7 linked regions of the Mus musculus genome follow. The protein of the gene in region 1 purifies or fractionates together with the protein of each later gene. This does not show direct contact. Links are inferred from orthologs where the notes say so. Each region holds a gene or a part of one and is shown in the gene's direction. Other genes may lie near its edges. The genes, in order: Map3k7, Fkbp5, Tgfbr1, Ripk1, Ripk2, Peli3 and Xiap.

What was found.
Region 2: the proteins of Map3k7 (region 1) and Fkbp5 purify together in Homo sapiens (affinity purification with mass spectrometry; 4 studies listed by BioGRID and IntAct, with this or other methods). This does not show direct contact. The link is inferred for Mus musculus from reciprocal best matches to the Homo sapiens genes MAP3K7 and FKBP5.
Region 3: the proteins of Map3k7 (region 1) and Tgfbr1 purify together in Homo sapiens (affinity purification with western blotting; 3 studies listed by BioGRID). This does not show direct contact. The link is inferred for Mus musculus from reciprocal best matches to the Homo sapiens genes MAP3K7 and TGFBR1.
Region 4: the proteins of Map3k7 (region 1) and Ripk1 purify together in Homo sapiens (affinity purification with western blotting; 5 studies listed by BioGRID, with this or other methods). This does not show direct contact. The link is inferred for Mus musculus from reciprocal best matches to the Homo sapiens genes MAP3K7 and RIPK1.
Region 5: the proteins of Map3k7 (region 1) and Ripk2 purify together in Homo sapiens (affinity purification with western blotting; 4 studies listed by BioGRID). This does not show direct contact. The link is inferred for Mus musculus from reciprocal best matches to the Homo sapiens genes MAP3K7 and RIPK2.
Region 6: the proteins of Map3k7 (region 1) and Peli3 purify together in Homo sapiens (affinity purification with western blotting; 3 studies listed by BioGRID and IntAct, with this or other methods). This does not show direct contact. The link is inferred for Mus musculus from reciprocal best matches to the Homo sapiens genes MAP3K7 and PELI3.
Region 7: the proteins of Map3k7 (region 1) and Xiap purify together in Homo sapiens (affinity purification with western blotting; 3 studies listed by BioGRID). This does not show direct contact. The link is inferred for Mus musculus from reciprocal best matches to the Homo sapiens genes MAP3K7 and XIAP.

What each region holds. Positions count from the first base shown.
Region 1 is NC_000070.6:31,991,607-31,995,106, forward strand, and holds part of Map3k7 (mitogen-activated protein kinase kinase kinase 7), read left to right. Parts: intron 1-106; coding exon 107-237; intron 238-780; coding exon 781-910; intron 911-3,267; coding exon of another isoform or gene 3,268-3,348; exon of another isoform or gene 3,349-3,404; intron 3,405-3,500. UniProt on the Homo sapiens protein: Serine/threonine kinase which acts as an essential component of the MAP kinase signal transduction pathway. Plays an important role in the cascades of cellular responses evoked by changes in the environment.
Region 2 is NC_000083.6:28,402,650-28,406,149, reverse strand, and holds part of Fkbp5 (peptidyl-prolyl cis-trans isomerase FKBP5), read left to right. Parts: coding exon 1-65; intron 66-3,301; coding exon 3,302-3,500. UniProt on the Homo sapiens protein: Immunophilin protein with PPIase and co-chaperone activities. Component of unligated steroid receptors heterocomplexes through interaction with heat-shock protein 90 (HSP90).
Region 3 is NC_000070.6:47,408,722-47,412,221, forward strand, and holds part of Tgfbr1 (TGF-beta receptor type-1 isoform 1 precursor), read left to right. Parts: intron 1-1,930; coding exon 1,931-2,056; 3' UTR 2,057-3,500. UniProt on the Homo sapiens protein: Transmembrane serine/threonine kinase forming with the TGF-beta type II serine/threonine kinase receptor, TGFBR2, the non-promiscuous receptor for the TGF-beta cytokines TGFB1, TGFB2 and TGFB3.
Region 4 is NC_000079.6:34,015,863-34,019,362, forward strand, and holds part of Ripk1 (receptor-interacting serine/threonine-protein kinase 1), read left to right. Parts: intron 1-1,134; coding exon 1,135-1,284; intron 1,285-3,500. UniProt on the Homo sapiens protein: Serine-threonine kinase which is a key regulator of TNF-mediated apoptosis, necroptosis and inflammatory pathways.
Region 5 is NC_000070.6:16,160,844-16,165,062, reverse strand, and holds the start of Ripk2 (receptor-interacting serine/threonine-protein kinase 2), read left to right. Parts: upstream 1-1,419; 5' UTR 1,420-1,666; coding exon 1,667-1,839; intron 1,840-4,219.
Region 6 is NC_000085.6:4,936,593-4,940,092, reverse strand, and holds part of Peli3 (E3 ubiquitin-protein ligase pellino homolog 3), read left to right. Parts: intron 1-1,914; coding exon 1,915-2,044; intron 2,045-3,500. UniProt on the Homo sapiens protein: E3 ubiquitin ligase catalyzing the covalent attachment of ubiquitin moieties onto substrate proteins. Involved in the TLR and IL-1 signaling pathways via interaction with the complex containing IRAK kinases and TRAF6.
Region 7 is NC_000086.7:42,066,598-42,070,635, forward strand, and holds the start of Xiap (E3 ubiquitin-protein ligase XIAP), read left to right. Parts: upstream 1-1,238; 5' UTR 1,239-1,459; intron 1,460-1,553; exon of another isoform or gene 1,554-1,759; coding exon of another isoform or gene 1,760-1,885; exon of another isoform or gene 1,886-2,275; intron 2,276-4,038.

The sequences.
Region 1 (3,500 bases):
TTTTCACTGGTGTAGAAGTCTTATTTTTACATATGTCTTGTCCACTATTGAATAAGGCATTCATATTATTCCCAGCCTGTAGTCTGAAATGTGTCTGCTTTTCTAGGCTCATTCATGGACATTGCTTCTACAAATACCAGTAATAAAAGTGACACAAATATGGAACAGGTTCCTGCCACAAACGACACTATTAAACGCTTGGAGTCAAAACTTTTGAAAAACCAGGCAAAGCAACAGGTTTGTTATTAAAAGTAAAATTGTATGTTTTCTTTACTAGTAGTCACAACATTATACTAAAGTTATAGATTATTTGCAATCTTCTGATATGTAACAATCCTGAGTTTTCTTTCTGTACCAGACAAATAAGCTTGTGGTAAGAGACATGAAATTTTGCTGTCATTTTTTACCAAACAACTTGTTTTCCTTTCTCCTGTCTGTTGCTGTTGTTAGCCCTGCCCCTTCCTCCCTGTGACCCATCTCTAACTAAGGGTCCTACAAACAGTGTGAAATGTATTTAGGTTCTATGGACCAGTTAAGTTCTCACAAGGCTGTCATCCTGTTAGGTTGGTTGTATTACGGCTGTTGTTGGTAATAAGTGATTGCTTTGAGCCGTGTATATCTGAGCCTGCTGTGCTTTACTAGGTCCCTCCGTTATAAGGTTCCCTGCTTCAGAACAGCACCATCAGCATGAAAAGCCACTTGCCATCTTCATCCTGGGCTGCCCAGGATCTCTACAGGAAAAGATCCTCAGTAACTGAGATTGACCTGTAATCCTAACAGAGTGAATCTGGACGCCTGAGCTTGGGAGCCTCTCGTGGGAGCAGTGTGGAGAGCTTGCCCCCCACTTCCGAGGGCAAGAGGATGAGTGCTGACATGTCTGAAATAGAAGCCAGGATCGTGGCGACTGCAGGTAAAGGGGCTGCAAGCCCAAAGAGAAAATGCCTATGGTTTTACATGGTACTCGCGGTTGTATTCAATAGGGCCGATGGGTCGTGTCTTATATCTGCTTTCTAAAAACAGATGGTGGGTTCACGGTGTTTTCTAAGCTTTCAGCAGTAAAGGTTTTGGTTCAAATTTTAAATAGACAAGTATGGCTTAAAATGTATTTGGATTATAAAATACACTTCCTAGTTACAGACTTTCAAATGTAACAAATATATCAAATATATTTCTCCTCAAACATAAACAAGCTTCAGAAATCAAACTTTCACCAATACCAGAGTATTTTCTATGGCTGAGTAATTCCAGTGTTTTTATGCTGAGCCCAAGAAACGAAACATGATTGGCAGGAAATTGTGCCCCAGGAGCTGTTGTCCTGCTCTTCCTGCCAGCGGCCAGAGTCGCCCAGCTAGCTGTTTGCTTATCTGATGATAGAATCAATAGTAGTAGTTTCATCAGACGTTGGCTTTGATAGTGTTTAAATTTCATTTTGTCAGCTCTTAAAATGTACAATAGACAACGTAGCCAGAATTAAAAAGAATGGCATTTTGTCACCTGGTGAACCAGCACCTTTTTTAAACCGGGTTTCACTTTAGTGGTGCCAATTTAATTTGAGTCTTATTTTGTTATTTCTGATCTTCCAAGGTTAGACAAGAGTGAATTGTAAAAATGAGCATTGTATTGGAGCATGTAAAAGTGTAAAACAAATAACAGTAAAAACTTGATAAATTCTCCTCTTCGGGGGATAGTTTCGATGTATCTGCATATCTTTTAATTATATATACAGAGTTTTAAAAAAAATGTAAACGGAGATGTTTTCTAAGTAAAATGTTCTGATTGTGTGTGTTCTCTTTGTAGAGAGTGGCATCCAGATGAACTGTACTGTACTTGTCTAAACTAATCACAGTCACTGATTTATCAACCTGCACTAAAAGCCTTTAGATAGGAAGGACTGTCTGAAGAGACAGTGTTTAAACACTAAGCTATTGAGCCCACAGAGACAAGTCTAGATTTGCCTTGTGGTCTTTAGGCACTGGTTTTCTATCTCTGTGTCACAATCTCTGTTGTTTAACTTCTATCCTCAAGGTTACCGTGTGGTCCAAAATGGTTGTGACAGCTCAAGCCGTCACTTCACTGCTCAGGTAGCAGGAAAGAAAAGGAAACAGAAGGGGGGAAAGCTTTTGAAACCAATTTCTGCAGCTTCCACACTCATTCCACAAGGGGTCTGAGCCATAGCTGAAATTGCTGCATTAGTAAAGTCAGAGCCCATGCTAAGGAGAAGAAAAGACTAGAAATGAGTGGGGAAATAGCTGTCTCCACCTGAGATAAATCCTCAGAAAACGTCAGGTTCAGTAGAGGTCAGTGCCCATCACTGGTCTGCTGGTCTCCATGAAGCACAGATGTCTGTAGACAGAGACATACTGCCAGCATTGTTGGGGGTCCACTTCAGTTCAGTTATCATCCAGAATACACACATAATGTTGATTCTGCCCTGAAAGGGGAAGTAATGTTTTCATAATAGTTTAGGATTTTGCTAAGCCTGTTTTTCTAATCAGATACAGATTTGTAATTACATATTATAAGAATGACATTTTTCCAGTTTAAGGATAATCATACATAAAATTAGTTTGTCCTCTCTACCTAAATGTAAGACAATACATCCTTTGAATTTTAAATAATTTGAATTTTTAATGAATTATCTTACTTTGAAAGGTTCATATTCCAGCTTTTGACAGTCTTCCTGTTTAACAGTTATATACTCTAAACGTTTAAAATTGTAATAAATATTCAGTTTATTAGAAACACTGTAGATAAACTTAGGGAAATATGTTTTAATGCTTTGGTATGATGACTGTTGATAATCACGGAATTTGATTTATAGCACACTCCAGGACGCACCTAACTTAGGATCTTCCTGCTCCTGTTTGTGTCGTAAGCACAAACATGGCAGCTTGTCTTACTAACTCCTGCACCTCCTGTCCTGCCGTCCCTCCCGTCACCTCATACCACTGATTTTACTTAGGTACACTATTTCTAAGAACACATCGGAAATTTAGCTTCTTCAGTGTCCTGCAGCTTTGTCTCTCTCTATTTGTTGTTGGGTTTTTTTCCTGCTAATTAAAACCAGTGTGTAAAACTTCTGAAACTCTTTGCTCTTTAACGTCGCCTCCCTAAGCATGGACGAAGAGTTAGATAGTTCTGCATGCCCTTTTTTTTTGCATGAGATGGATTCACACAACTATTTCAGAACTGTTCTGTTGTGCAGTCATTTCCTGTGTTACTGTGTGTGGTTGTTTGCATGTATACTGTACATGTGTGTTTTTTCAGCCTATTCCAAGCCTAAACGGGGCCACCGTAAAACCGCTTCATTTGGCAACATTCTGGATGTCCCTGAGATCGTCATATCAGGTACCATAGACCACCTGTGTTGGTGTAACGGCTGTGGAACTGGATTCATGATCCCGGTACTTTTAAATGCTTCTTGCTCCAATTTGCATAGGATATGAACAAATACCTCTCATGCTGTACCCAGGGAGATGGAGAGAAAACTGTAGATTGCC
Region 2 (3,500 bases), on another chromosome or scaffold:
TGAACCTGGCCATGTGCTACCTGAAGCTCCGAGAGTACAACAAAGCCGTGGAGTGCTGCGACAAGGTGGGTGAGCCGTACTTCACTCTCCGTTTATCTGTGTGGCACCTCTGCCCCCTTCAGGCTGTTCCTCTATGGTCAGCATGAGCTGGGACGCCATAAAGGATGGGGCTTTTTGTGCACTACTTTTATCCTGCATTTTACATAAAGCCATTAACAGAATTGATAAGAGTCTTCATCTGTGGTCTTCCTTACCCTGGTCCTTTGTGGGAGAGGAGACAAAGAGCCTTGAGGTTCCCTCTTTATTGTTTTGTTTGCAAGGCTGGGGATTGAACCCAGGGCACTGTGCATGCTAGGCAAACACTTTACCACTGAGCCATACAGCCTACCCCCAGTGACACACTTCCTCCAACAAGCCACACTTCCTAATTTCTAATCCTTCTAATCCTTTGAAACAATTCCATTCCCTGGTGATGATGTATTCAAATATATAAGCCTGGGGGGGGGGGGAGACATTCTTATTCAGAGCATTTACCACCATGGTTAATGCCTATGGTCTCAGCATTTGAGAGGCAAAACAGAAGAATTGAGAGTTCAAGGCTGGCCTGGGCTACATGAGTTCTTGTCTCAAAAAATAACTATTATCAAGATAGCTCAGCTGGTAAAGGCACTTGCTGTCAAGCCTGATGACAGGAGTTTGATTCCTAGGACCTTGTGGGAAAGAAAGAACAACTTTGTCATATGTCCTCTGGCCTCTTCCTCATTCATAGTATTACATGTGCATACACAAAGGTAATAATAATATATTATTTTAGAGATTTATTGATGTGTATGAGGACTCTGTACCTGCCCACCAGAAGAGGGCATCAGTCCTCATTACAGATGGTTATGAGCCATCATGTGTTTGCTGGGACTTGAACTCAGAATCCCTGGAAGAGCAGTCAGTGTTCTTAACTGCTGAGCCATCTTTCTAGCACAATAATACATTTTTTAAAAACAACAAAAAATAGATATAAAGTGGCAAAAAAGACATTTTATATAAGAGTTTAGTTGGCTTGTTTTGCCTTGAGAGAGGAATATTATTGTTAATTATACTTTTTAAAGTTTGTGCTGTTTTTTTTTTTAAATATATAGCTGTTACAAAGTTCAGAATTTAAGCACACAAGAAAGCCCAGCTATCAAAAAAAAAAAAAAAAAAAAAAAAAAAAAAAAAAAAAAAAGCCAGGCAGTTGTGGCTCATGCTTTTTTTTTTTTTTTTTTTTTTTTTTTTTTTTTTTGGTTTTTTGAGACAGGGTTTCTTTGTATAGCTCTGGCTGTCCTGGAACTCACTTTGTAGACCAGGCTGTCCTCGAACTCAAAAATCTGCCTGCCTCTGCCTCCGAGTGCTGGGATTAAAGGGGTGCACCACACAGAGAAACCCTGACTCGAAAAAACAAAAACAAAGAAAAAGAAAAAAAGCCCAGCTATAAAATTCCCATCAACTTTCTCTCCCAAAGCCACTCATTTAAAGATTTACTTTATCTTTAAAATATTTGTACATGTACAGATAATATTTGTGTTATCTGTATGTGGCGCGCGCACGCGTGTGTGTGTGTGTGTGTGTGTGTGTGTGTGTGTATGCGCAGGTGCTCCCTGGGTCCAGCAGAGGGAGTCTGATCGTTAGAGCTTGAGTCCCAGGCAGCTGTGATAGGGTTGCTGGGCTGCTGGGAACTGAACTCGAGGCTTCTGCAAGAGCCATGCTCTTAGCCCGGGAATGGCTTCTCCAATCCTTTAGACATTTACTATGGTAGGAGAGGTTGTCTGCATGTGCGTGTGCACATGGTACACACATGGGCGGCCTGGGGGTAGTTCTCCTTCCCCCATGCTGAAGGACCAAGCTCACTGAAGCTCATCAGCAGGTGCCCTTCCCACTGAGTGTCTCTCTCCCCTCCCAGAGCATCTTTCTCTATAGAGTCCTAGTTTTTCCAAATGAAGAATAACTGCTTTATTTTTTTCAGTCAAACTCTCATATCCCAGTTTGACTTAAGACTTGCTTTGTAGCTGAACTTCTGGTCCTCCTGCCTCCACCTCCTGTTGGTGGTTTGTTTTATTTGTTTGTTTGTTTTTGTTTTTGGTGGTGGTTTTTTGAGAGAGGGTTTCTCTGTGTAGCCCTGGCTGTCCTGGAACTCACTTTGTAGATACGGCTGGCCTCAAACTCAGAAATTCACCTGCCTCCACCTCCCGAGTGCTGGGATTAAAGGCGTGTGCCACCACCGCCCGGCTGTTTTGTTTTTAAGATAGGGATAAAATTCAGTATTTTGTATATACTAGGCAAGCTAAGATAAACCCCAGACTTTGCATATGTATTCTTAAAATATGTAGATTTAGGACTGGAAAGGTGGCTCAGAGGCTGTAAGAGTACTCACTGTGCAAGCATATAGGGCCCGAGTTCAGATCTTGGCACTCAACATACAAGCCTGGCCTAACCCACAGAGAAGGGGAGCACTAAGTGGATCAGGATAAAGGATCACTAGTGCTTGCTGACTGCCAGTCTCTCTGAAAACTTGAAAATTGTGAGCTCTAGGTTCAAAAGAAATAAAGCAGAAAATAAAAGGGAAGATACCTGTCGTGCGTGCGTGTGTGTGTGTGTGTGTGTGTGTGTGTGTGTGTGTGTGCTCGCTGGCACAGATGCATCGATACATACTTGTATAATACACAACACACACACACAAATATATATATATATATATATATATATATATATATATATATATACACTAAATAGAGAAAGATTTGGACATAGTTATTATGTGAAAGCAGCAGTCTTTCCACGTCAGATGAGTGCATTCTACACTTGTCCCTCACTGAGCTTGGTGTGAAAAGACTCACCTCTTTAGATCCATTCTGTGAACCATGGGGTTTCACTTAACTGATCCTCACAGGAAGATTTTCAGGGCTTGTTTTTATTATAAGGGTCATAATAATAACCATAATAATAATAAAGGCAGTGGTGGTGCAAGCCTTTAATCCCAGCACTTGGGAGGCAGAGGCAGGCGGATTTCTGAGTTCGAGGGCAGCCTGGTCTACAGAGTGAGGTCCAGTCAAAGCTCTCAGCACCATCAGGGGCTCAAGCTTCACCCCCGAGCTGGAGACATTTTATACTAAAATACTGACAAGTGGGTGGACCGTGGTTGATTGTTGCGTGACTCTTGTGCATAGTTCTGCTCACCTCCGTGTGATTGCGCTGCCTCAGCACTGAGGTGACAGGAGCGGCAGTTGTCCCTTCCAACCTGTGACCTGCCCACCTGTCCTTCTGTTCTTAGGCCCTTGGACTGGACAGTGCCAATGAGAAAGGCTTGTACAGAAGGGGCGAGGCCCAGCTGCTCATGAATGACTTTGAGTCGGCCAAGGGCGACTTCGAGAAGGTGTTGGCAGTCAATCCTCAGAACAGGGCCGCTCGCCTGCAGATCTCCATGTGCCAGAGGAAGGCGAAGGAGCACAACGAGCGGGACCGCAGGGTGT
Region 3 (3,500 bases), about 15 Mb from region 1:
GAGACCTAAGAGTAAAACTAAAAAATAATCTAAATGGTTCAACATATAGCTTAGTGCTAGCGTGCCTGCCAAGTGTGTATGAGGCCCTAGGTTCAGTCTGCAATAACACATGCATAAATGCACACACAAACCTCAAAATGATCCGTACATAAATGTGTCTTCCGGGCCATCTGCTGTTTCCAGTCTGGACTGGTTGCTTTTGAGAGCCACTGTGTGGCTTCTGTCCTGGAATTTCTTTTGCCTTTGTGTCCTTCCTGGGCCTTCACCTCCCTCTTTGTTTACTGTTCTTCCTGTTTGTATGCTCCTCTCTGTTAGAACTATTCTCATTAGCCATTTCCCTTCCCTCTGAGAATATGCTTTCCCTTGGCAGGCTTTATCTTCTCTAAATTGTTTTTCTTCTTGGCATTTACCACCTTAAAGGTTTGTATTTCACAGTAATTTATTAATTGGTCTATCTCCGAAATGGAAACTTTTTGAGGATAGAAATTTCATAAGTTTGTTCACTGCTGTATCTAACACCTACAGAAATATTTGTTAAATGATAGGCCTTCAAAAATAATTATTTAAATAAATGTTTATGTGTACTTTGGTACATGGTCCTTTAAATCTAGAAACATATTTTCTAGGAAGTACTTCTGAAGCAGTCTTAGGTAGTCTCCCATTGCCTTTGTTGTTTTTCTTCACCTTTGGTTACCTGACTATAAGCCTACCCACCCTCCAGGTTTTGCTCCACTTACTGGAACATTTATCAGCTTTGTAGTTCATTCAGGTTTTCCATGTATCTCCTCATTCTCCCTCCCCTTGCCCTCCTCCCCCTGCTCCCCACCTGACCTTTCCCTCAAGTAGTTATTTGTAACTATCTCTGAGTGTTCCTCCTATTCACTACGTACAGAACCTTATTATTCTATCACTAGACATTTGAGGAGTGCTGTAGTATAAAATACAGGGACTGAAGGGAACTCTGGGAAGAATAAAGTAACTTTGAGTATAAAGACTACACAGAGAGAATAAACTTAAAACAAAATACATGAACCAATGATGAATCCCAGGGGTTTGGTGGTGTGGTGGTACTATAGCCTGAACATGGTATGCATACTGTACAAACACTGGACCAAGGAGCTACACCCTGCCTACTAACAGTAGAGCTTTGAAAATCCAGTGTTCTCTCTCTACATCTTGTGTTGGTTTCACTTTCTTCATTTCATGTTACTTTTTTCAAATGTTCGATCAGACAGTTCTCACTTTTAATGAAGGCCTACGCAGGTGCATGTGATTGGAGCTTACAGGTGTACGCTTTAGTGATCTCTCGGGGTTATTTGATTGATTCTCTGGTCACTGTTAATAATCTGTCAGGCCTGTTCTCTTGGACTGCCCAGATCTCCAGGGGAGATTCCTTTGGAATCCACAAGAGTGTGCACAGGTGCTACTACTATGTTCCAGGAGAAGGCTTACAGTCAGAGTCCAGCATGTTTCCAGTGTGAGATACCTGCCCTTTTTCTCTGGGCAGAGAAGATGCCAGTCTTTCTTTCCTTGGACAAAACCCTTAAGCCTTCTGCTGGGCTGGAGAAGTGGCTGGGACAAGTTGGAGTGGGCAGAACCTGTGTTCCAGCACTTTGAGCTCTTCTCCCTGCTTTCTACCATAGCTTTGCTCTAAAGGACTCAAAGTGCAGTTATGTTTGGACCCAGTGTCTCGCGTGCCATAGTGTGTGCATTCTTTCAGTGCTGAACCAGGAATTCTGAGGTCTCCTGAAAAAGCTCCCCTGTCCACAGCCTTTCCAGTAGCTGGCACCAGGATCTTGATGGAGACTGAAGTCCTCATTTGATACTACAAAGAACCTAGAATAGGCACCTTATACCTATCATTTTAAAGTCACAGATCAATAACAAGTAGTATGTGTACATTAATTATTTTTCCTATGTTTTCTTATAGGCCTTGAGAGTGATGGCTAAAATTATGAGAGAATGCTGGTATGCCAATGGAGCAGCAAGGCTGACAGCTTTGCGAATTAAAAAAACATTGTCACAACTCAGCCAACAGGAAGGCATCAAAATGTAACTGAAACACCGTGGGAACTCTGCTCTCTTCATATCTGCTCCTGGGTGTTTAGGAGGCTGGTTGTTCTACCTCACTGAGAGAACAGAGGGCTCTGCTTCCTCTTGCAGCAGTGGAATATGGTCAACTGAAAGCTTCCCAGGGTTTCTCTGGGCCCAGAGGCAGCCGTGGGGTCCTTTCTGTGCACTATGGATACTTCTTCCAGACAGTTACAGAATGTTGTGTAGTCTACTTTTGTTTTTATTAACAAAGCTTGTTTTTAAAGACAACTGCCAGCCCTTAGGGAGCTGCTGTGCTGTTGACCTTCTGTAAGGGTGAAGGAGCTGGGGTGTGGCACTAAATGAAGCACTTCTGATTTTCACTCCTAGTAGTACATTCTCAGAGGACTCTGAACCACTAGTGTTTCCTTGGTTCACTTTGAATGTACTGTTCTATAATTTTTCAAGATCTTAAACTAACACTTTAAACTCTATAGTCTAAAAAATATGACCTCGTGGAGGCGTGGGGGCACAGTTGCTCCGTTGTATTTGTGCACAGCTCCTTCACACTCTGAACACAACACACCTTCACAGTAGGGTTGTGCTACACCAGTAAGTGCTACTTTTGCATCTGTCTAAGTGGAAACGAACAGAACTACTTAAAGGCGGTGTTAAGTCCTGTATCATTTTCATTCAAAAAGTTTATTTTTCTGAGTAACCTAAACCTTTTCTGGGTTTGTTTTTGTTTTTTGAGGGTTTTTGTGATAGATGTCATTCAGTCTTCATGCCTTTCTCCTACCCAGATGTGCTTGAACCACTGAGGCAAGGCTGTAGCATTGATAAGCAGTGACTGCCATGCGGGAACACCCCACAGGAGCACTGGAGCTCTGCAGTTGAGACGTTTAGCCTGAGTTTATTTTAAGAAGTGAAGTGGCACTCCAAACATGTACAGTGCTTTATGGATGTAATCATTATGGTATACAGACTCCTTTTGAAAGGGGAGGCTTGTCTATTGCCGAAGGAAAAGTTGTATGCTGTTCTGTAAGCCATTTCTTTTTCTTTATTTGATCAAAGCAGTGTTTTGTTTTGTTTTGATTTTTCTTTTTTGGAAAGGAATTGCATTTAAAATTCAAATGTGGTTAATGTTAAATAATAGGCCTTTTTCTAGGAAGGCAGATATAGTTAATATGAATGTACAAGTGTAGGTGACTTTCACATGTTATGTAGCTGTAAGTATTTGTGGATTCTATCTTGGGAAGGGTAGAGTTAGTGGAGTTTTGAGGTCTCACTACCCTTTGAGGAAGGCAGCTTTTAATTCAGTCTTTTTATCTCATATGTGCAGATCTTGCAACTGCTTGATTTACATGGTAGCAATGAATTCAGTGCCACGTTGATACTAGGAGAAGCAGCAACTAATAGCTATTCTGAGTAGAGGCTCTCTTCATATATTCTTGGTCATATTAAATGTC
Region 4 (3,500 bases), on another chromosome or scaffold:
TTGCTGATGTCTCTTAAACCTTAGTCTCTGACTATGATCAAGATATTCACAGACCTGTTAGACCCAGCAGATACACACACCCCACATAGATACCACATACATATAGACACACATACACAGAGAGAGAGAGGGGGAGAGAGAGAGAGAGAGAGAGAGAGTGCCTGAAATATATTAGGTACTCAGGAGACCTTTGTTGAATTAGTCATCCCAGTTTAGAATAAACTCATGGGGTAAGTAGACTACTTTATAGTATAGCTTAGCTTGGGAGTTGCTATAAAACTCCACTATTCTTCTAGAGTAGGAACTTACTACCAGGCATACACCCCATACCTTGATTCTATTTGTGAATGAGCCTTTTTCATTATCTACTGTGGACAGTTCAGTCAGCTGGGAATGGAAAGGTAACTAAATCATTGTTTGTACAGGGGAAAAGTCATCCTTCGGTTTGGTTAAGTGTGGAAAGGAAGGACTACTTTCTGTGACTTCTTCGTGATTACTAACCCCAGTAGATCAGGGATCACCATCTCTTTGCTGATATCTCTTAAACCTTAGTCTCTGACCATGACCAAGATATCGACAGACCTGTTAGACCCAGCATTTATACCACAAGCACCTCCAAAGTAGCATCCCCCAAACAAGTTGCCAAGTTTATGAGCACAGTACAGGTTGCTTACCACCTGCACTGAGTGGCACAATAAGCAACTTTAACTGTTCTCATCATGATTGTTTTTACCAGAACCCATCATTCTTACTTCTAGAGTATTAGTTAGCATGTATATTTCAAGTCACTCTCCTTAAACTGAGCTTCTTAAAGCTCAGACCATCCTGTATTTGCCTCTGTATTGAACTCGGGAGAATGCCATGACTTTACCCGTTTGTTTGTTCTGTGAAAAGGTAGCTTTGTTTTGAATTTTGTTTCTCTTCTGCAAAATCAAAACATCATCCTACCATTTCTGTAGTAGTCTGCATCAATTCCTTGCCACAAGACTGTTACTTTATGGAATGAGACAGCCATGGAAAAATCATATCCTAGATAGAGAGACAAAAGAGCAGTATTATCCAGGTCCTGGCATCTTCCTGCTTGAGAGTAAAGTGTAACTGAAAGCCCCAACTGAAGTTCACCCCTCTTTGCAGATGTCATCTGTACTGAGCAGTTCGTGATCTGCATAAAATCTGGGAACAGGCCAAATGTAGAGGAAATCCTTGAGTACTGTCCAAGGGAGATCATCAGCCTCATGGAGCGGTGCTGGCAGGCGATCCCAGAAGACAGGCCAACATTTCTTGGTAAGAATGGGTTGCGTGCCTATTTAGGATGCATCTAACATAGTGACTCTCTTCAGTAAGGTGACACTGGTAATTTAGTTACTTTTCCTATTGCTATGACAAAATAGACGACAAAGCAACTCAAAGAAAAGGTTTATTTTGGCTCAGTTTAAGGGTAAAGTCTACCATGGCAGGACGCCACAGTAGCTACAATACAAGGCAGTTGCCCACATTGCATCTAGAGCCAGGAAGGAGACAGACATAGATGCTGGCAGTCATTTGCTCTCTTGTATTCAGTGCAAGGTCTCAGCCCATGGGATAATGCTGCGCACATTCAGGGTGAGCTTTCCCTGCTTCACACCCCCACAGGCACACCCAGAACTGTGTTCCCTAGTGTCACCCAGAAGTGCGACCGTAAATCCAATCAAGTTGGTAAGGAAAATCAGCCATCACAGTTAGAAACATATGTTGAATACCACATCACATGTAGCTTCAAACTGACTAGATAGATATCAAGCACCTTGTCAATGAAAAGGTCCTACCCGTCCCCAAAGCATGGGCTTCTTCATTTCCTCCTTTAGTTTCGGGGGATTAGCACTGTTATTGTTTTGGGTTTTGTTTTGTTTTGTTGTTTTGTTTTGTTCTTTTCGAGACAGGGTTTCTCTGTGTAGCCTTGGCTGTCCTGGAACTCACTCTGTAGACCAGGCTGGCCTTGAACTCAGAAATCCGCCTGCCTCTGCCTCCCGAGTGCTGGGATTAAAGGTGTGCACTACCCGGCTACTGTTACTGTTTTGAAGCACATATAATGCTTTCCATTTTAGCTCTTGTAAGTATACTGTCCAGTGGTGTGAAATCCATTCTGCTTTTTCAACATTTACCACAATTTATTTCCAAGTTTCCTCAGCCAGAGCACAGCTCTGTACTCGGGAAGCATTAGCTCTGCGTCCCCTTTCCTCTCTTCTCTTCCCAGCCTTAGCAGTCACCATTCTGTTGACTTTGACTTCCCCAAGTGTCTCATGTAAGCCAAAATTGCACAATACTTCTGTTTTGTATCTGTCTTGTTTTACAGACTAAGTCTTTAAGGTTCATCCATGTGGTAGTATGTGTCCGAATTTCCTTTTTATTGCAGAATAAGATTCTACTCTATAGATAGTTTTTGTGTGAGTGTTCATCTGTTGATAAACACTTGCCCTAACCATTTCTAGCTTCTTTCACTTATTTGCCTCCCTAGTTAACATTCTTATTAGTATCCTTAGGAATGAATTCTGCCATTTAGGTTAGCCCTGTAGTTGAGGAAATTGAAGGAGACATGAGCGTTTGGCCCGTTCTGCACCCATCCTATCCCCTAGATTACCTAGGAGTATGAAGTAGGCCAAAGGAGAAGAGCAGAGATACAATAGGAGGCATTCAGGAATGTACAAAGCATCATGTTGTTGTATTTATGTGAGAAAAGAGAACTGGAGTGCCACCCATTCCCACTGTATAGACCAAGCTGACCTCAAATTTACAGAAATCCCCTGCCTCTGCCATCTGGTTGCTGTGATTAAAGGTATGCCACCATGCATAGCTAAAGCCCCATCTGTTACAAGTCCCACAACTCCTGACCGTGTTGCTGGCTGAGGACCAGGTCATACACTGAAGGTTGTTCAAAATTCAAACTGTAGCATTTTCTTGTAGGTTCTTAAACTTGTTCTAGAGTTTTAGTTTGATTCATCTGTGGTGTTTTTTTCTTGCATGGTTTTCAAGGACATTCTAGGCATGATATTATCCATATGTTATTTGATCATATGGTTTAATTTTCCAGTTTGCCATTTTATCACCCTGAGTTAAGTATGTAAACCTTTCCTTTCTCCTTATGCATTTCTCATTTATACATGTGGAATGCATCAGACTATGTTGCAGCTTTCCTTCAGTCTTCATAAACTCTAAAAGAAAGTTTTTTGCTTTTATTTACCCATTGTTTTGATTGTCATGCGTCATTTTTCCGATGCTACATATATTTACACTTCTAACACTATGCAGGCTATCATGACATTCCACATTTAAGAGCTTAGTCTCATGTGACTATCACCACATGGTACCCACTTAGGATGCCTAGGCTTCTGCCCAGCTGACTATGAGTTTGGGTGTATATTCCCCATCTCAGGCTTAGAATAGACTCATCTGGCTCAAAAAATATTGCACTTAAATATAACTCAATGTTATAAAACATTAAATTCAGAAACAACCAGATAGAA
Region 5 (4,219 bases), about 16 Mb from region 1:
CAGCATGTATACGTATATATATTCTTAGTTGAGATATATACACATTATATTGTAAGTACATATTTTTATATTTTTGTATTTTGTTTATGTGTATGTGTGTTGCCTGCAGAAGCCAGAAGTGTTGGTCAGATTCCCTGGAGCTGGAGAGCAGGCAGCTGTGAGCTACTAGATTCGAGTACTGATAACAAACCTCAGATCCTCTGGAAGAACAAGCCCTCTTAACGGCTTACCCATGACTCCAGCCCAAGAAAACATAATCTTAGAATGTAGACTTGTAAAAAACTATTAAGAACTAGAGTATAGGGAAGGAAATGTCGGTGTTATATATATTACACTAATAATATAAGGGACAATTACAGATTGTAGTATCCTGGTGCGTGTAGGATCGTGGAACTATATCGCTCACAAATATGAGATATTTGCGCCAAACATCGTACTGAACAGTTATCTAAGTAGAAAGGTGTTTACAGTAAAAAGATGAAATAGTGCTGGATTTTGGTTGTTTGGTTTTGTTTGTTTTTGCCTTTGTTTTTCTTTTTGGATGGAAGACTTCCCAAACACAAGAAATGGTTTTATATTTCTATTTGTGAGTAGGCTTTGAGGAATAAAAGAAGAAACCGTTTCCTGGTAAGGGAGCAAGTCATATAAGCTAAACACCTCAATTTGTCACACTGACAGCGCTAGCCTCTCTACCTCACTTCTCACAAGTGGCAGCCACTGAGTAAAGACTGGAGTGGAAGCAACCAGATGGTTTACAGCTCAGGAAGTGGGGCACCAGGCTCCCCAGCAGTAGTCACCCCACACCCTATCACGTCCAGGGTTTGGAGTCTAAGGAAGACACTCGGGCCAAAGGAAAATCCAGCCGACCCACCTGACACCAGACTGGAGAACTCCGGAGGGATTTTCCCCGGAGGAAATCTTTTCCAAGCCTCAGCGATGTCCACCCGGCTTGTGGGGGGAGGGAGGCCTCTGAGACACGCCCATGATCTGCAGAGGGAGGAGCCGGCAGAGGGAGGAGCCCGCAGAGAGGGGAGCTTGCAGAGGGAGGAGCCGGCAGAGGGAGGAGCCCGCAAAGATGGGAGATTACAGAGGGAGGGGCCGGCGGAAGGAGGAGCCAGAGGACAGAAGAGCGGGCGGAGGAGGAGCCGGCGGAGGGAGGAGCTGGGGGAGGGCGGAGCCGACGGAGGGAGGAGCTGGCAGAAGGAGGAGCCGGCGGAGGGCGGAGCCGGCGGAGGGAGGAGCTGGCAGAGGGAGGAGCCGGCGGAGGGAGGAGCTGGCAGAGGGAGGAGCTCACAGAGAGAGGAGATTGCAGAGGGAGGAGCCGGCAGAGGGAGGAGACCGCGGAGGGAGGAGCCGGCGGAGGGAGGAGCCGGCGGAGGGAGGAGCCGGCGGAGGGAGGAGCCGGCGGAGGGAGAAGCCAGGGGTAGGAGGCAGGGGCTGAGGAGTTGGTGAAGGTAGGAGCCCGCCCAGGGAGGGCCGGCGGAGGGAGGAGCCCGCCGAGTCCAGGAGGAGGGAGGAGGACGGTCCACCCCGGCGCGGCCGCAGACCCGACGGGCTCCCTGGCACAGCTGACCGGGCCGGAACTGCAGCGGCCACGCGGGAATGGGCCGCCCCGGGACCTAGCGCCGCGGCCAGGGTCGGGCGGAGCCGCCGCGCAGCCGGAGCCATGAACGGGGACGCCATCTGCAGCGCGCTACCCCCCATCCCGTACCACAAGCTCGCCGACCTGCACTACCTCAGCCGGGGCGCCTCTGGCACGGTCTCGTCGGCACGACACGCAGACTGGCGCGTGCGGGTGGCAGTGAAGCACCTACACATCCACACGCCGCTGCTCGACAGGTAGGGCGCCGGCGCGGGGCCCCACACAGACGCGGGCTGGGTGGTCCACAGACCGGCCGCACTATGGCGATGCGCCGGCTCCGCCGCGGCGAGTCCTTAAGTCCTTGGGCTAACCTGATCCAAGGGAGAAACCATCCTGGACGTGCGTCAGACTTTGCAACTCGCCCTGCCTCTCCTCCCACCCGAGGTGTTCCCACTCTCCAAAAACCTGCAATCACGGCCACCTCTAAAACCCTGTTTATTGAACCCGACGTGTGTTGGTACAGTGCTTGTGGGCTTTGCTTTGTTTTAGCTAGCTGTTAGCGGTAAGAGCTGTGGAACTCTAAAAACTGCTCTTGGAAATGAAGTACGCAGTGACTGCAAAATACACACCGGAGTTTGAGCATTTAGCACTAAAAAGAAAAATAATAATACTATACCGGTGTTTTTATATTGATTAAACGTCAAAATATTTTTCTAGGGTTTTATGTGTGTTTCACTCCTGCTCCTGAGCCTGCATATTATGGCTTGGTTTGGTTTGATTTGGTTGGTTTTGTTTTCTTTGTGGTTTATTACGTGCCCTCATGAAGTTCAGTTATCAAATTCTACATTACCAGTTGTTATTCGAGCTCTTGCCTTGGAAGTCCCCAAAGGAAGTGTGCAATGTTTTTTGTAACAGTAAAATGAATCAAAAGCTATTAAATGGTCAAAATTTGTGAAGAATAAAAGTTTTGACCATCCCTTGCCCTGGTATTATTTGTGTCCAGCTCCCACATATTCAGAAGAAAGAAAAAAAAAAAGCGTTGGTTTCTGTTTCTAGGAAAACATTACAACTAAATACCATAGATCTGTGGCTGTATGTGTTAGTCAATGGATCTAGTCAGAACTCTTGTGTGTTTCACTTCCATCAGAAATTGAACTAGACCTTCATTCAGTTCTTAGTGCACTTGCTAACCTTGGTGGCTACAGGCCTCTTCTCCTGCTGGATCTAGTGTGAAAATACAGAGATCATAGCGGCCCTATTGGTCAGAGGCTGTTAACCCTGGGTATCAGGTCAGATACAGCATCAGATAACTAACTCTCTTGCTTCAGCCCTGGTAGAATGTTGGACTTTCATCTGCCTGGAGGCGCCCTCCCTCCCTCCAAGGGCTAGATCACAGTGTATGTGGAGCCAGTGCTGTGTGTGTGTGTGTGTGTGTGTGTGTGTGTGTGTGTGTGTGTTCACGTGTTCGAGCACGTGCGCCTAAGTAGTCAACTTTAAAGGGAGGTTGGTTAGTACCAAGCAAACGAATGGTCTATGGAAATGTAGCACTAATAGACCACTAGGTAGACTAAAGCTAGTTGCTTTCTCACTTTTGATTCTGCTTTTCAAAGCTTCGTTTGTGCCATTTGTAGGCCAAGGGAAAAAGATGGACAGGATGGTATTGCTTTCCCATATTCACCAACCACTTATGGTATAATTTCCTTGCATTGGATAGGGCATTGTCTTTATAAAACCAGCACAATCCCCTACCTTACTGCATTGCATTCTTTTATCTTGCTGTCTAAGATCTTACCATGAGCACAGGCCTAGGCTTATGCAACTGACTCTGAGGGTGTCTTACTTCCTCACCTGTTAAATATGAATAATAAACACTGTATGTATATTTGTTGTGCTCTGGTGTGGATAATGTACCCATTGTTCTTTAAGATTACCTGAAAAGAAAATAAGTCTAGGTGACGTTGCATATTATTTTAATAATTAGTGAGTCACTCTCCATTGCCAGTGAGTGGGACTTCCATAGCAGTCTTCCAGCCTTAATGGACTGATGACTCTGATTGGTTGTTCAAGTACCCTAGAGATGGAGAGCTGTTTCCTATTGACATTTTGAGTTAGGCCATTTTCATGATACAATTATTGAAGCTGTATTTTGCATTTTAAGTTTCTAAAAATCTTTTGCTTTTGTTTTCCCCCTCAATCTTGTTGAATTCTAACCTCACAAACTATCTGATTTGCTTTTCTCATCAAACAATAGAATAGAAAAGCACAGATGTTAGAGTACCAGGGCTACAATTTAAATCTGACTTAAACCCTGTCACTTTGTATTGTTGTCACCAAAGGATCATTCATTTTTTTCTGACTGTAGATGCTCCAATATGTAAACCAGAGAGAATGAAACAAGCTTTAGAGAGTTGATTCAAGGGTTGGACTGTATATAAAATGGCTGGCAGGGAGGAGGAATACATCATACCTTTCTATGTTTGTATGTACATGCATGTGTTTGTATTAGCATACACACATAGGAGATCCATGTGCTGCTGACCCACATGCATGATGGGTAGGCCAGAGGTCAACTTCAGGTATTGTTCCTCAGGACCATTAAGAGAGAGAGAGAGAGAGAGAGAGAGAGAGAGAGAGAGA
Region 6 (3,500 bases), on another chromosome or scaffold:
GCCCCCAAAATCAACAAAAAGAAGAGAGAGGGAATAAAGGAGAGAGATGAGAGAAAAGAAAATAGGAGATATAGAGAAGAACCCCACACCTCGAGAGGCAGAATCTCTGGATGGGTCTAGCGAATATGAATTTAAACAAACTCACCAGGAAATTCTAATTGGTCCTATATTTGGCATCTTCTTGTCTCCCTTTTTGAGACAGGGTCTCACAGAGCTCAGGCCGGCTTCCATCACTCTCCCTATGTAGCTGAAGATGACCTTGAGCTCCTGATCTGTATTCCTCCCAAGTTACAGGCATGAGCCAGCAGACTGCAGTCTGTGGTGCTGGGACTGCAGGCATGAGCCAGCAGACTGCAGTCTGTGGTGCTGGGACTGCAGGCATGAGCCAGCAGACTGCAGTCTGTGGTGCTGGGACTGCAGGCATGAGCCAGCAGACTGCAGTCTGTGGTGCTGGGACTGCAGGCATGAGCCAGCAGACTGCAGTCTGTGGTGCTGGGACTGCAGGCATGAGCCAGCAGACTGCAGTCTGTGGTGCTGGGACTGCAGGCATGAGCCAGCAGACTGCAGTCTGTGGTGCTGGGACTGCAGGCATGAGCCAGCAGACTGCAGTCTGTGGTGCTGGGACTGCAGGCATGAGCCAGCAGACTGCAGTCTGTGGTGCTGGGACTGCAGGCATGAGCCAGCAGACTGCAGTCTGTGGTGCTGGGACTGCAGGCATGAGCCAGCAGACTGCAGTCTGTGGTGCTGGGACTGCAGGCATGAGCCAGCAGACTGCAGTCTGTGGTGCTGGGATTACAGGCATGAGCCAGCAGACTTCGGTCTGTGGTGCTGGGATTGGAACGCAGGGTGTTGCTCATGCTAGGCCAGTACTCTACCCACCGAGCTCCACCCCCAGCCCTAGGTTCAGCCACTTCTGATATTCTTCTCCAAAGCTTTCTGTGCCTCCCCACTTCTTAGAGAAAAGCATTCTTAGCTTGTTATTCTTATCACTATACCACCCAAGTCACTAAATCTTAGTCCTCAGGGCCTTGGCTCAAAACCCAATAATTTTTGGCAAATCTAGGTGAGTGTGACTACAGTCCAGTGACCACAGTCCAGCCTTTTGTTGTTGTTGCTGCTGCTGTTATTGTCTTTGCTTCTTAGCTTGAGACAACTCATTTTACCTCCCTGGGCTTTCACTTGTCTAATTTATAAAGTAGGAAGAAAGCCATTTGCCTGGCAGGACATTCTGCAGATTCCATTAGGTAATTAAAAACACGAAGGATCAGGAAAAGAGGCAGCCATCCCCAGCAGCAATCAAGGCAATGGCTCACCTCAGCCTTGATTCTCATGGTCATTCCCCCTGAATAAAAGCTGGAAAGAAAGGTGGAAATTAGACACGTGTGGAGATAATGAGGAGGAATTAGAAGGTGTTTTCTTCTTGGTCATTTTCGGACGCCGTATGATGAAAGCTCCTTTGCTGCAGATGAAGTCTTTACAGTTCTTCAAGGCCCAACATAGGTGTTTCCTCTCCCGGAATCCTGATTCTGGGGTTATTCCCACCTCCTCCCACTGGGCCTTGTGTGTGCTTGACTTGTGCCTGGGTCATGGCAGGCGGTGCCTGGGTTCCCTGAGAAGCTGAGGCTCAGTCCTTTCCTCCACTGAGCATGGCCGTGGTGCATCAGCTTTGCCACCCTAGCACCTGCTGTTACAGCTGAGGTATGCAGGGAACACTTGGCCCTTTAAAGGAGGGACCCCCACCTGCTACCCCTCAATTTAGCCATTTGCCATTCGGGGATTTTCTAGGTTTAGATGGTTCTAGCCCTTGTTCATCAAGGTAGGGTCTGCCCCAAGTTGGCAGTTTCCTTCGGGTCTCTTACGGGCTCACTCTCTCCTTTCTCTCCTTCCACCATCTCTTCACCACCACATCCACAGCTACAATGGGTGTCTGGCAAGTGGAGACAAGGGCCGCCGCCGAAGCCGCCTGGCACTGAGCCGCCGGCCACATGCCAACGGAGTGAAGCCAGATGTCATGCACCACATCTCCACACCACTCGTCTCCAAGGCAAGCCGCTCCTCCCAGTAGACTGAACGCCATCCTGTCCTTTGTGCCCAGACCTAGGTCTTCAGTCTTTTACCTGCCATGGCCTCTTTGGAGCAGGGGAGCCCACTGGGTCATTACTCACTCAGGAAATGGTGCTGATGGGTCTGGAGAGATGATGGCTCAGTAGGGTAAGAGGGCTTGCTGTGCAAGCACGAGGATTTGAGTCTGGATTCCCAGCACTTGCCAATTAAAAGCATGTGTGGCTATAACCCCAGGACTGTTGAGGGCGAAGACAGGAAGGTAGCTGGGGCTTGCTGGCTCTCATCCTAACCCAAAACCACAAGCTCCGGGTTCAGTGACAGACATAAATCGGGATAATGGCAGGCACCCAATGGCCTCTGTGGGCACACCCATGCACATGCATGCACGTGTACCACAGAACAGATACACCCCAAAATGGTGATAATAGACATCCTCTGCAGTGTGCCCAACCCCTAACAGCCTTTCAAATACTTCTTGGCTGCCATGCCCCATTTGTTGGTTAGATGTTTTACTTATTAACATTTTTAAAATTTATTTTTATGTTTGTAGATGTATGAGTGCTTGCATGAATGTGTATGCACTGTAAGCATGCAGTGCCTGTGGAGGCCAGAAGAAGGTATGGACCTGGAGATACAAACCCGTGTAAGCTGCCATATGGGTGTTAGGAATCAAACCAGGGTCCACTGCAAGAGCAGCCAGTGATCCTAATCACTGAGTCATCTCTCTAGCACCTATCAGCATTATTCTAGAGGTAGCCAACGCTCCAAGAGTGGGATGTGATGTCACACAATGTATTAGGGTTCTCTAGAGAAATGGAACATATAGAATGAATCTCTGTCTGCCTGTATGTCTTTCTCTGTTTGTGTTGGCCTATGGGGGAATTTATTAGAATAGCTTACAGGCTGTGGTCCAGCTAATCCAACAATGGCTGTCTGCCAATGGAAGGAGGGTCCAAGAAGCCAGCAGATGTTCAGTGTATAAGGATGAATGTTTCAGCTGATCTTCACCTGAATCCCAAAAAAGTGGACTGTAATGCCAGTGAAGGAATGGACCTGCTAGGGAGCGGGAAAGCAAGCAGGCAGAGAGCTTCTTCCTCTATGTCCTTTGTGGATAGGCAGCCAGCAGAAGGTGTAGCCCAGATTAAAGGTGGATTTTCCCCCTTGATAAGATCTTGATTAAAGGTTGTCTTCCTACCTCAAATATCCAGATTAGAAGTGGGTCTCACCACTTCAAATGATTTTTTTTTTCGAGACAGGGTCTCTCTGTAGCCCTGGCTGTCCTGGAATTCACTCTGTAGACCAGGCTGGCCTCGAATTTAGAAATCCACCTGCCTCTGCCTCCTGAGTACTGGAATTAAAGGTGTGTGCCACCACGTCCGGCTTACTTCAAATGATTTAATGAAGCAAAAATCCCTCACAGGTGTGCCCGCCCATTC
Region 7 (4,038 bases), on another chromosome or scaffold:
CCTCTTCTAAATGAGTTGATGGTGGACAATATCAAGACAAATGAGGGTAGCCTGGGACTTTTTTTCTTTTCTTTTTTTCCCAGACAGGGTCCCTTGCATCTCCGACTGGCCTCAAACTTCCTATTGAGGATGGCCTTGAACTTCTGACCCTTCTGTTGATAAAGATGGAGCTTTGTTGGTTTGCTTATTTAAGAGTGCTGGACAGGTGAGATCAGTATTTGCTTGCAGTTGTTTTGTTGGCAGTGGTGGGGTTTGAATTCAACCTTGTATGTGCTAGACAAGTGATCTACTACTGAGCCTCATTCCCAGCCCTCGCTTGGAATTACCTTCATTGTAATAAGTCAGATGCAATTTTCAGAGCTGTAAGAGTACACCCCAGGGGGCCTGGGACACAGATGGCTTAGTGGGGAAGGGCATCACCACCAAATCTGAGGACATTAGTTCTTCCCTAGAACCCACATGCTGGGAGAGAACAGACTCAAGTTGCCCTCTGACCTCATACAGTAAGACAATGTAATAATTTTTAAAAAAGATTGCATTAGAAGGAATATTACATTGGCAAAAGTTGAAGAACCAAATACATTTCTTTGTCTTCTCTTCCAAGTTCCTTTTCATCAAGGACAGCATTATTTAACCAGGCAGATGGTGCCCATGGTCTTCTCCTTTTAAATATACCCAATCCATCTTAGTACACTAGCCATTAAGAGTCAAAGTTCCTGAAACCTAAGTATAGGTTTATCTGACAACCCTACAAGCATATAGCATGATCACCATTTTGTATAATCTTCTCTTGTGTCTTTTCCATCTTTGTTCTATTATTTTTCTTTGTTCTTCACAAATTTCTCTCACCCTCTTTTTGTCTCCCTGTCTCGTCATTCCTTCTAGCTTCCTCTATTTGGAAACAACCGATTCTCTAATCTCAGTTTACTTTTTTGTCGGGTGGGTGATACTGGGATAATTATTTTCTCCGGGGCTCAGTTTCCTCTGTAGGGTGGAATTTAATAGAGGTGTTCTGCCTTCCATGGTTTTCAAAATAACATTGAGGAATATGTTATATACCTAGCAGAGTCCCTGGTATCCTGTGAGAGCTCAATGTACTGTGCCCTTTTCCCCTTGGTCTTTAATCTTCTTACCTGTATTCCCCTACTCCTCACCCTAGAGTCCAGGTAAAAGCTGGGGGGCGGTGGGGAGGGGGGAGAGAAAAAGTCCTGGATGCTAAAAGAGGAAATGCTTGAGTCGGGGGCGGGGACTGAGAAGTGACCTGTGCGCATGTGCAGCCGCTGGGTCAGGCTCTGGCTTGGAGCTGGGGAGGCGGGGGTTGGGGGGTGGGGGGGGGGTTGGGCTGCATAATGAGGACTGGGGTTTTTCTCGATGTCCCCTTCCGGCTCTGGGAGGCGGCGGGACCTTGGCGGTCCCCCGAGCGGGCGCGACGCTAATCGAGGGCCGCTCGGCCAGAGAGGTAGGCTGGAAGATGGCGGAGTGGGAAAGAAGGAGGGGCTCTGCCGGGCGGGAGCGGAGCTCCCGGGGGAGGGGATGGGGGTGGCGGTGGGAAGGACATGGCCTGAGGCCAGTGGCTGGGCGAGCCCGGGAAGCTGGCGGGCTGCACCGGTTGAGTTTTTTTTTTTTTTAAAAGTCCTGACGTGGATGCACTTGGTTCCGGTCTTCGAGTTTTATCCGATGGGACTGTCCTGCCTGGGAAGGCCGAGGGAGGAAGGAAGGGAGGGAGACAGACATAGTGACTTCCGTTTCCTTCTCCTAGGCCGGGGCCCGCCGCCCAGCAGAGTTGTGTTTTCCTGATCCGGGCTCGGGCCGCCCCTCCTCCGGGACCCTCCCCTCGGGAACCCGTCGCCCGCGGCGCTTAGTTAGGACTGGAGTGCTTGGCGCGGTGGGTACAGCTCTTGTGGGTTTCCCGCCCTCCCTTCCTCTCCCTCTGCTCCCCTCCCCTCCCTTCCCCTCCCCTCTCTTCCCTCTCCTCTCCTCTGCTCTGCTCTTCCCTCCCTCCTCCTCCCTCCTCCCGCGTTCCTCCTCCTCCCCCCTCCTTCCTTCTCCCCCCCTTCTCCTCCCTCCCTCCTTTTCCTTCCCTCCATTTCTTCCCCCTCCCTTCCGCCTGGGCTAGCTCTGCCTAGTTGGGCGGGAAGGCCGCGCCCGCCCGCCCGCGGGGAATGCTGGACTGGGCTCCCTATCCAGGCTCCCCGGGATTGCCCCTGGAAGCCGTGGGTAGGGGGGCTGGCTTCAAGCCTTCGGGTCAGCCTCCTTAAACTTCGTGACACCTAAGGTAAATCTAGTTAAAATAATTAAAAAAAAAAAAAAGATTTGATCAACCTCCCTGCCCCCCCCCCCAGTTCGATACCTTGTATGGGGCAGGGTGGTGTGTTTCTGGCAAGGGCATGTGAACCCTAAAGAATGAGGGCCAAAGAGCTTCCAGAGGAGGAAGTAGCTGGTAATTTTTGCCTCTTTGTCACCTTGGTCACTTCCCCAGCATATTTCTGAGAGAAAAAAATGTCACTTATGACTTTCAGTTCCATTACTTTAACTCCGTTGAACTCCACAGTTTACTTGAGTTGTGGGGTGTTTTTCTTTTAAGCAGGGGCGGGAGGGAGGAAGGGAGTGGTGATTGCTGAAACTAAGCAGTGGCTCACTCCATCTCCAAAAAGGAGAACATAAGCCTTGGGGAAGACTAAACCTATCAGTTTGTAATAATCTACAACTTTACCTTCAAGTACAATTATGGCACTACTTCTGACATCCTAGCTATACCTTGATAGTGAATGAATCCTAGAAATGTCTTTTTTTTTAAAGACTGGAAAGTTCTACAGTGTTTCTTCATTCTTCTCATTTTCTCCTTAATAGGATTTTTTTTTTTTTTTTGTAGCCAGTTTCAAGAGAACACTGTTAAGAGCCGGCCATCTTAGAATTATAGCATTTTTGAGCTGGGAAGGATCTCAGCTCAACTCTTTTGTTTTACAAAGCAGAAACTAAGGCTCAGGGTTTCATGATTTGTGTAAGGTTACCATGCTAGCCATGCTAGTTAGATTAGAATTCAGATTTTCTAGCTCCCTGGCCACCCCACTCCTGTTGCTTCAATATAACCTCTAAGCAAATATCTAAGTATATTCTATTTAACATTTCTGTCATTTTCAGTGTAGTAAACATGTATGTGAAACTTGAGTCAGGGATTGTTTTCCCCATAACTTAAGAATGGAAAACATTTTAGGTCAGATAGATTTCTACCTACAGACACAGAAACATAAGCTTATATAGCTGTTTGGATTGGGTCACATGGATCCATGAAAGAGATAAAAAAAAATGGTAACCCTGGTTACTTCTGAAGAAGACGGATGGAAAACTAAACTTTGCTTTTCTCCTGTGCCTTACATGTTTGAATATTATAAACAAGTTTGATCTTATTCTAGAAAGTTTTAAAGCTCACATAGATGTATATCAACATAAGTATTTGCAATTGGTATTTATGAACATCCACTTATCAGTAATTTTTATTGTAAAATCCAGTATGGCTTATTTCGTCTTCACAGAACAGGTCTGTATTTATGTTTCTCTTTTGGCTTTTACCTACTGTTCTGTATTCATGAGAAATGCTAAAAAGCTTTGGCTTTATCTTTAAAGAATAAGCTTCCTGATTATCAAATAGTGTAGAAACTATGAAATTCAGATATCAAATTTGACATACAGATAAATCTAACTTACAGAATCATTTTGGATTAAACTTATTTTTAAAAGGTTATGCCTGTAAAGATTGTATTGGTGTATGTAGTACAGTAAATACTTGCTTACCATGTATAGGGCTCTGGGCTTGTTTGTTTGTTTTGTTGAGCATATCAAAGAAAATGTTAAAATTTGATCAAAATACATGATGTAATTTTGAAACTAACATAACCCACTATTTTGTACAATGAATATACACTAATAGGAGAGAGAAAGGGGAAAGAAAGCTAGGTGTGGTGGCTTTCACCTGTAATCCCAACAACACTGTGGAGTCAGTGCAGGAGAATTGCAAATTCAAGTCAGCCTGGGCTGTGT